Linked DNA regions of Sus scrofa. The protein of the gene in region 1 purifies or fractionates together with the protein of each later gene. This does not show direct contact. Links are inferred from orthologs where the notes say so. Each region holds a gene or a part of one and is shown in the gene's direction. Other genes may lie near its edges.

Evidence for each region.
Region 2: the proteins of HAUS5 (region 1) and HAUS2 purify together in Homo sapiens (affinity purification with mass spectrometry; 5 studies listed by BioGRID and IntAct, with this or other methods). This does not show direct contact. The link is inferred for Sus scrofa from reciprocal best matches to the Homo sapiens genes HAUS5 and HAUS2.

What each region holds. Positions count from the first base shown.
Region 1 is NC_010448.4:45,056,185-45,060,706, forward strand, and holds the start of HAUS5 (HAUS augmin-like complex subunit 5), read left to right. Parts: upstream 1-1,616; 5' UTR 1,617-1,682; coding exon 1,683-1,780; intron 1,781-2,524; coding exon 2,525-2,587; intron 2,588-2,679; coding exon 2,680-2,712; intron 2,713-2,845; coding exon 2,846-2,870; intron 2,871-3,396; coding exon 3,397-3,502; intron 3,503-3,581; coding exon 3,582-3,741; intron 3,742-4,522. Other genes in the region: ATP4A (potassium-transporting ATPase alpha chain 1), read right to left, coding at 1,494-1,502.
Region 2 is NC_010443.5:128,836,139-128,840,617, reverse strand, and holds the start of HAUS2 (HAUS augmin-like complex subunit 2), read left to right. Parts: upstream 1-1,590; 5' UTR 1,591-1,604; coding exon 1,605-1,697; intron 1,698-4,479. Other genes in the region: LRRC57 (leucine-rich repeat-containing protein 57), read right to left, coding at 866-1,004, 1,102-1,185.

The sequences.
Region 1 (4,522 bases):
GGAGAGTGGGAGATAATGGTTAGGAGTTGGTTAGGGAGATGGTCACATGACCAGCTCTGTGCTCTCTTAGGTATCTTGAGAAGATGTGTCTAATAACCCCTGGGTGGCTTTTTTTAGAGTTGGAGGGGAAATTGCTGGTAGTTATCTCTTATTTGGCTTTAATTTTGTATTTGAAACATACAGAATCCTTTTATATTTATATATAATTATATAGCTTGGGTCAAGGTGCACCTGATTTACTGTCATTAGGTTATGATTATAGGTATTCATTAAACAATGTTCCAGCTTTCGGCCAGTACTTTTGTTTTAATAGACTTTAATTTTGGTGAGCACTTTTACAGTTAGAGAAAATCACACAAAAAAATTAAATTCCCATTGACATCCCCTCCCTCCACACACATTTCCCCCTATTATTACCATCTTGCAGGAGTATGGTACTTCTGCTACACTTGTCGAATTAGTCCCTGGCAGCCTCTTTTGCATCTCAGCCCTTATGAAGCATTTGAAGACAAACTCAGCTTTTCCCCCAAATTTTCTACTTTAATGGTGACCTCAGAGTCCCCTTGTCCCTGGACCAGAGACTCCAAAGACCCTTGGATGTCCCCTTGACTCTTCACACCCATAGAGTCTCATATGTCATTAGCATCTCCCCCAAAGCTGATCCTTCTCTCATCTCTCCATTTCAAAGTCTGTTCCATTTTGAACCTAGAGACCTGGACATCACCCTGGATGCCCCCCCTATTGCCAGTCAACCTCACATGACCCACCTGCTCAGCCTGACAGTGGTCCAAGCACTGTCCTCACCCCCATCCTCTACTCATCCTGTTCCATCCTCCTCCCTGGGTTCTCAGCTTTAGTTTCTCCGCACTGTCTTTCTCCCCACGTGTTTATTCAACAAGAACAGAATGATGAACGAGGCAAGCATATTGAATGAAAGGTCCCTGAATGTTACCATTTCTCAGAGCCATGTCTAAGGCTGAGTGGGCTCTCCAGGACTCCAGCCTTAGTATCCAATGCTTTCTGGGACACTCCACAGACCTTTCACACTCCTTGTGTCCCAGATTGACCCACCCCTGCTGCTTATGATCTACCATCCCTACCTGGTGATGCGTCTATATCCCTCACTGAACTGTGAGCTCCGTAGCATGGAGACTGGGGCTGTCTCAGCCACCGGAGCATCCCCAGCACAGGGTCAGCTCACGAATGTTACGGAATGGTAAGGACGAACGAATACCTAAAAGAAAGCATGCCAGGGAGACATTAGGGTCATGCAATCTGCCTTCCATCCCTCACTCGAACCTGGGACACCCTGTTGTGGAAATCAAAGAGCATTAAGTTTGACATCTCTTCGCCTGATTCTCATCCTCCTAGGATTAAAGTCCCATTTTGTCAAGAAAATGAAGGGAGGTATTAGGGACCTTTTGCGTCTTAGGGAACAGCTAGCGGTAGGAATGAGGACGCAGAAAGCAAACGGCCCCATCGTTTCTCCACACCTCTTTCATCCTTACTCAAACGAACCAAGCCGGGAGGCGTGAGCGATGTCGGTGGGCTCTGAGACCCTGCAGGGCGGGAAAGCCCCTGCTTGCCTGGCGACCGATAGCGTCACTTCCGGCGCACTCGTGACGTCAGAGGCGACCGCCACACTTGAATACGAGGCAGGAGGCGGCGGCCGAGGCGCTGTCATGGAGTTAGCGCAGGAAGCGCGGGAATTGGGTCGTTGGGCGGCGGAAGAAATGGAGGCGCCCGTGGCGGCCCGGGCCCCGGAGTCGACGCTGCGCAGGTGAGGGCCGCTGTGGAAGCGAGAACTCCCCACCCTGAAGATAGAGTCTCTGGGAGCGAGAACCACATCTTGGTCGAAGACGTGCCGCCCCCCTCCTCCCCTCTGCCCCAGTGAGATAACCCTTGAGGGTAACCCCGACCCCCCAGGCAGAGGATCCTGAATTGAGTGAGGACGTTCTGGCGGTGATGCCCACACTCCCACCCTCATCCAGTGAGGCCGCCCAGAGAGGTACCTTGCACCCGTGGGGACCCTCCATGAGTTAATAATAATGAAGCCCCCCTTCTCGTGTGGAAATTGGATCTCCAGGGCGGGGCTGTCCCTGCAGCACTTCGTCACCCCACCCTAGTCCAGGCAGTGAGGACACTGGAGTCAGCAAAGACCACTCCACTAGGAAATTGAATCTTTTAGGAGTGATGACGCACGTATAGTAATGAGAGAGCCCTTCCTGACATTATAGCCCTCACCCCCACCTCTAGAAGTAACTGGAGATGACCCTTTCCCAGGAGAAGGGGAGCAACCCACCAGGGAATGCAAATCCCCCTACACCCAGTGAGAAGTCCACCCTCTTAGTAACTGAGAATTTCCCAGGAGGGAATAGCTTACCCTGGAAAGTGTGGACCTTCCCTGCCCCCACAGGTGAGCATTCCCTAGAAAGCGACCCCCCCCTCCCGCGCGCGCACAGTGCTATGAATGAGGATCTTCCACCCTGTGTGATGTCCCAGGCACACATTGCTGTTCCCACAGGCTGTGTCTGGGCCAGGGGGCTGACATCTGGGCCTACGTCTTGAGGCATGTGCACAGCCAGAGGTGAGCCTGGCTGCATGAGGGAACCTGTGGCAGGGGAGGGGACCCAGGTGAGTCCCCCAGTAACTCCCCTCCCTCCTACCTCTCCACTGTAGGAGTGTCAAGAAGATCCGGGGAAACCTGCTCTGGTAACTGGTCCTCAAAGCTGCCCCTTCCTGTCTTCCCCAGTCCTATCCAGCCGTGTCCTCACCCATAGCCTCACATCTCCCGTCTCCCCCTCAAAGTCCTTATCATTCTCTAACTCTGGCCTCATTTCCTCAGGTATGGCCTCCAGGACAGTCCAGAGGTGAGAAGCATGTGCTGCAAGAATTTTATTTCATCCAAAAAGAGGACTTGTAGGCTTTCTGCTCTAGGCCCAGCCTTGTGTGGATGATGCTAGGGACACTGTCACAAGACAGCCCTGATCCCAGTGCTCACAGGGAGAAGACATGAGCTGGGGGTGGGGAGTCATAGATATGAGTCAGCAAAGCTGGTGTGGGAGATGGGAGAAAGGACTAGTTTGAGAGAGATGCTGAGGCCAGTACGGGACCCAGCATGTGCCTGGTGCCCAGGAGACCTCAGGACTCCCACATGTAGGGCTCGACACGAGATGAGGACTGAGACAGAGACAGGAAGCAGGTTGGGAGAGTAGATGAGGTAATCCCAAGAGGAAGGAGGGGAACAGGATAGTACTCTGGTGCTCTCCTGGGCCTGGAGGTCCAGGCTCAGAAACTGCCTAGAGAAAACCCTCAGCCAGTCACCTGGGCATATAGACCGGTGTTCTACAAAAGGCAGCCAAGCCATGCATCTGACCCTATACCTGATTCCACCAGGCCCGCCGGAAGTTGGAGCTGGAAGCCGCTGTTGCCCGCCTGCAGGCAGAGATCCTGGAATTAGACCAGAGCCTGGAGCTGATGGAGCGAGAGACTGAAGCTCAGGGTGACCCGTGGGGCTAGATAGATGGGCAGCAGAACGGGGTTAGGGAAAGTGCTAATGTCCACCTCTGTTCCTCTCACAGACATGGCCATGGAGCAGGCTGTACAGAGGATGCAAGACACCCAGCGTCGTGCTCTCCTCCTCCGGGCCCAAGCTGGGGTCATACGAAGACAGCAGCGTGTGCTCCAAGATCCGACACAGCGGCTGCAGAATCAGCTCAAGCGCTTGCAGGACATTGAGAGGTGGGCCTCAGGTGCCGGGGACCAGCACTCACCAGGCTCAGCAGACATTCTTGGAGACCCAGTGCTCTGTCCTGACCCCTCCAGTTCTGAGTTCCACTCCTTAGGATTTAATGTCCATGAGGCCAGGAGGTTTTGTCATCTCAACCACCTGTATTTCCAGTGCCTAGAACGGTGCTAGTTGTATATCTGGAACACATGCTAGGGGGAAAAAGGAATAAACAAGGGTCAGTCCTGCCCTTATGGAGGTCATGCTGTGATACAGAGGAGCAAACTGTAAACTAGGAAGCAGACTATAATCACAGGTAGAAATAAGTGCTCTGAAGAAGAGGTGATATGATGGAAAAGGAGAAGGAGATTCTACTCTAAGTAGGATGGTCAGAGAAGGCCTCTCTGAGGAGATAACATTTGAGTTGGGAGGAGAATTTCCGTGGGGAGGGACACCTGAGCTTGCCATTTGGTAGAACAGCTGACAGGCCAGTTCAGCTTAGGCATGAGGGGAGGCATGAGGAGGCAGGTCGCAGAGTTGGACAGAGTGCCATGGAGACACTGGGATTTTACTCAGGCTGGGTTCAGGCCCAGGCTCAGCCCCTTAGAGCTGCGGGACCTTGGGCAAAGTATTTAACTTTGTGCCTCAGTTTCTAAGTTCTGTAGAATGGGGATATTAGAAGAGTTCCTGATACCTATTGTTGTTTTTCTGTGTGATGGGAACACATCACATTGTTTTCAAGGATTTCCAGTAAAAGTGACATCATCTGTCTGAGGTTCTAACAGGATCATTGAC
Region 2 (4,479 bases), on another chromosome or scaffold:
ATATGTATAGGCATTTCACATGTTGTGCCATTTTTATACCTTTTTACCAACATAGTCTTCAGAAGGTGAGGATCAAAATGCAGGAAAGTGGAGTTTCCATCGTGGTGTAGCGGAAATGAATCCTACTAGGAAACCTTGAGGTTACAGGTTTGATCTCTGGCCCCTCTCAGCGGGTTAAGGATCTGGCGTTGTTGTGAGCTGTGGTATAGGTTGCAGACGTGGCTCAGATCTGGCATTGCTGTGGCTCTGGCGTAGGCCAGCAGCAACAGTTCCAATTAGACCCCTAGCCCAGGAACCTCCATATGCCGCCGGTGTGGCCCTAAAAGGACAAAAGACCAAAAAAAAAAAAAAAAAATGCGGGAAAGCATTATGTGTATAATGGGCTCCTTTTGTGAAGGGGCCACTGCACAATCCCACAGCAGTTTTGTGGGATTTGGAACACCCTCCCCTTTCCATCCCATCTGCCCTTCCAAATCAGTAGCAAAATTAGCCCTGCCTACATTACCTCCCAAAGACAGTCCCTTTCAAATCCAAATTAACCCCATCCCCAACAATACAATACCAGAGGAGGCTTATAAATATAATTACAACAGATAGAAAGCTTCAAGGACTCAGACATTCTCCCTAGTCTTGAGCTCCTGAACTGTTTCATAACAACAATCAGCTTGTTAGGAAAAAACCACCCTTTTTTTCCCTTAAGATTCTGATATATTTATTTGAAAACTAGTTTTATAACATTATAATCACACTCCACACTATATTCCAAGAGAAAAACCACCCTCTTTAACACCTTATCACTAGCAAAAGCTTCCCCAGGAGCAAACCTCCCCAGGCGCAAAAGCCTCCCCAGGCGCAAAAGCCGTACTCAGTCTGTTGTTGTTCAAGGAGAGGCTCTTCAGTAGAGTGAACTTCCCTATAATCATAGGCGGTAGACTCTCGATCTTGTTGCTGGACAAGTCGATGGTCCTGAGATTGCTTGTCAGCTTCTGCAACTCTGAGGGGAACTGATGAAAGGGGTTCACAGCGCAGAGAATCCTTTAACTTCCCCGCCCGCCGTCCCTCTCCCTTTAAATTCCCTGGTCCGAGTCCTTCCAGTCTCACCTCGGTCAGCCCACGATCCTTAAGCTGAAAGACACCAGTTTTCTGCGCGGTTTCCACATGAGCACGGAGGGCACTGTTTCCCATCCTAGCGCCACTGCTCAGGTCCCTGTGGGAAGGAAGCGCAGCTGTCACCGCTCGGTCCAGGCACCCAGCCACCCGGTTGGCCTCCCGGCTGGGTCTGAAGCCTCAGCTGTCACCTCCTGCGGATCCCTGGATCTTGGGGGCCAGCCCAAGAGTGGCTGGGAAGAAAGAGCAGAACACCAGGCCCTGCCGATTTTGCAGCTCTTCCGAAACCAGCCGCCGCTAGGAGCCTAGGGAGGATCCGGAATCCCGGAACTCGCCTCCTACCCCTCAGCTCACAGCCGGCTGGGTGGAGAAAGAACCAGGACCCGCGCTCGCAGGGGATGAGTTCCCCGCCCGGGAGGAAACACCCTGTGACGTCATCGAGCCGCGCCGAGCGTTCCACTCACTCTCCGCGCCACCCGGGAAGGTGTTGCCCAGCCATGGCTGCCGCTAGCCCCTGGGACCTGGCCTCCGCGCCAAACGCTGCCGGGCTACTGCTGGGCCATTTCGTAGCTTCAGGGTTGGTCACTCAGGTGCGTGGGGGCTATGGCGTCATTAAGGGGGTGCCCAAAGTGGTGACAGAAGATGGCTGTGAGGTGGTGGTGGTGGTGTTGGCTGCGGGAGTGGGTGTGAGGGTTAGCTGGAGGCTGTGCTAGGTTCGAGGCAAGTGGAGCTCCTTGCGGGCGGCAGAAGTGTCTAGTCCGCTGTGGGTTCTGCAAAATCTTGATTCTGAGAAGGTGTTTCAAGTGTCTGGCGAGTGAGTTACTCCAGATCATTTCATGGGCGATAATAAAGATTAGTGTTCCCCGCTTTTTTTCATTCAGTGATACCGCCTGTAGATTGTAATGGGTGGCGGGGTTGGGAAGTACGGGTGGGTGCTAAAACATAAATCTCCAAATAACGCTCGTTTGTGTGAAATATTGAGGCATTACGGGAGACGCTGGATACAGGAGAGCGGCAAGGGAGGCATGCATCTTTAAAGGCCAGGGGAAAAAAATATTGGCGAAGAAGACCCATAAAACCTTGGAACCTGAATGAAGGAAGGTGTTAATTTTGAGAAGAGAAGAGGGAGACTAGCTCAAGGGGGTGGTAGTTTTAGATTCGGCAAGGAAGCGCATGTTCGCAGGTCAAAGGGAAAGAGCCAATGGAGGGAGAAATTGAAGATGTGAGGGAGTAATGAAATAGAAATAGCAGATGTGACAAGGGAATGGGGAAAGTGGGGTTAAGAGAAGAGAAAGAAATTTTGAGGTAATGAAGAAGTTGAGAAATTTCACTAAAAAAGGAAACTGAGAAAAATAGGTAAAACCATCTGCAGAGATTAGCGGTATACACATGATGGAAGATTTGTGGGAAATATGCAAGTCTTTATACCCAGAAGAGTCATTAGAGAATTCTATTATCTGCTTAGAGTAATTTTAAGATGCAAAAACAAAAACCTAAGGAGACCAAGAAACATGTCCAAGTCACTCAACTAGCGAAGTAGTTAGATCCCGATGCTCTCCCTTTTCTGACACATCATATCATCTCTAGGATGACTTGTGACACTGTCTTGAAAGAGTTTAAACTGTTGAAGAACTTGAAGACCTAGTAACAAGACTTTTTATGGATTTTGGGGAAAATGAGTGGAAGTAAGGAATGCATTGGAAAGTAGACAAAACATAACCACAGCACTCCATAGTTCTCACCTTCCTCACTTCTCTCCTGTGTTTTCTTTCTGCCACGTTGCATAATGCTCTCACTAGTGTTGTCTAGTTCTGTACCAAAGTAATTTGCAAAGTTCATGCTACAAGATTTGGGATTTATCCCTTTAGAACGTACTGGTGGGAGATAAAAACACCTAAACCAAAGGAGTAAGTCTCTGGTGAGAGAATTGGGCTGCTGTTAGTGTCCCTCAAGTAACACTGATTAGACAGTTACCTCTTTTGCCTACAGGTAATATCTGCCAATCCATGGCTCCTTAAGCCCATCTTACAATGTTATTTATTGCACAGCTAGACCCAGTGAGGAAACTTTTGTAGATTTGTAGCATGATTTTACTTTAAGCAAACTTTACATATAAAACCTACTTTTATTACAAGGATTTATCATTGATCTTTTCAAAATGAGCTATTATATGACTGCTTTAAACAGTGTATTCCTTAAGTGCACATCATCCATGTGCATTAAAAATTAAGAGTGATGCTTAAAATTGATATGATACAACTCTTATAGAATATATAGCTTGTGTAAGTTTTTTGTTGTTGTTGTTTTGATCTATTCACTGGAGAATGATTTAGTGAAAGAATTTCTAGGGATAATATGGGATACTATTTTGCCTTATGTCCTAGGACTGCTTCAGAGGCCTTACATCCTAGATGTTATTCTGGCAAGCTTGAGTCACAGTGCCTTGATCAAAGTCCCCTCTACTGGCAGTGCATAGGATAAGGATCTGGACCTAACAAAAAACCCCTCAGGATCTCTTCTTTTTTTCCCTTTTTCTTTTTTTTGGCTGCACCCCTGGCATGTGACAGCGCAGGGACTGAACCTGTACCACAACAGCGCCCAAGCCATTGCAGTGACAACATTGGATCCTTAACCCGCTGTGCCATAAGAGAACTCCTATTTCCTAATAGAAAGAATACTACCCTCCCCACACATACATATATCATCTATTTTCTCAGTCTGTGCACTGATCTTCTCTGCACCCACCCCCATTTTAAGGTCTCTCTGCTATACTACTTCTCTTTAAAAAAAAAAAAAAATTGAGAGTTCCCATCACGCAGCAGAAACAAATCCAATCAGGAAACATGAGGTTGTGGGTCCAATCCCTGGCCTCGCTCAGTGGGTTAAGGATCTGGTGTTGTGTGAGCTATGGTATAGGTCACAGATTTGGCTTGGATCTTGTGTGGCATAGGCTATGGCATAGGCTGGCAGCTGTTGCTTCGATTCGACCTCTAGCCTGGGAACCTCCATATGCGGCAGGTGCGGCCCTAAAAAGCCAAAAAAAAAAAAAAAAAAAATTGGTCACACCTGTGACAGATGGAAATTTTCTGGCCAGGAGTTGAACCCAAGCTGCAGCTGCAACCTACACCACAGTTTCAGTAATGCCGGACCCTTTAACCACTGGACCAGGGATCAAACCCTCACCTCCACAGCAACCAAGCCACTCCAGTTGGATTCTTAACCCACTCACCACAGCAGAAGCTCCTATACTGCCTCTCCCTTTTGTTTTTTAACTTATTTTTTTGTCTTTATTTATTTTTTGCCTTTTGAGGGCCGCATCTGTGGCATATGGAGGTTCCCAGGCTAGGGGTCTAATCAGAGCTCTAGCCACTA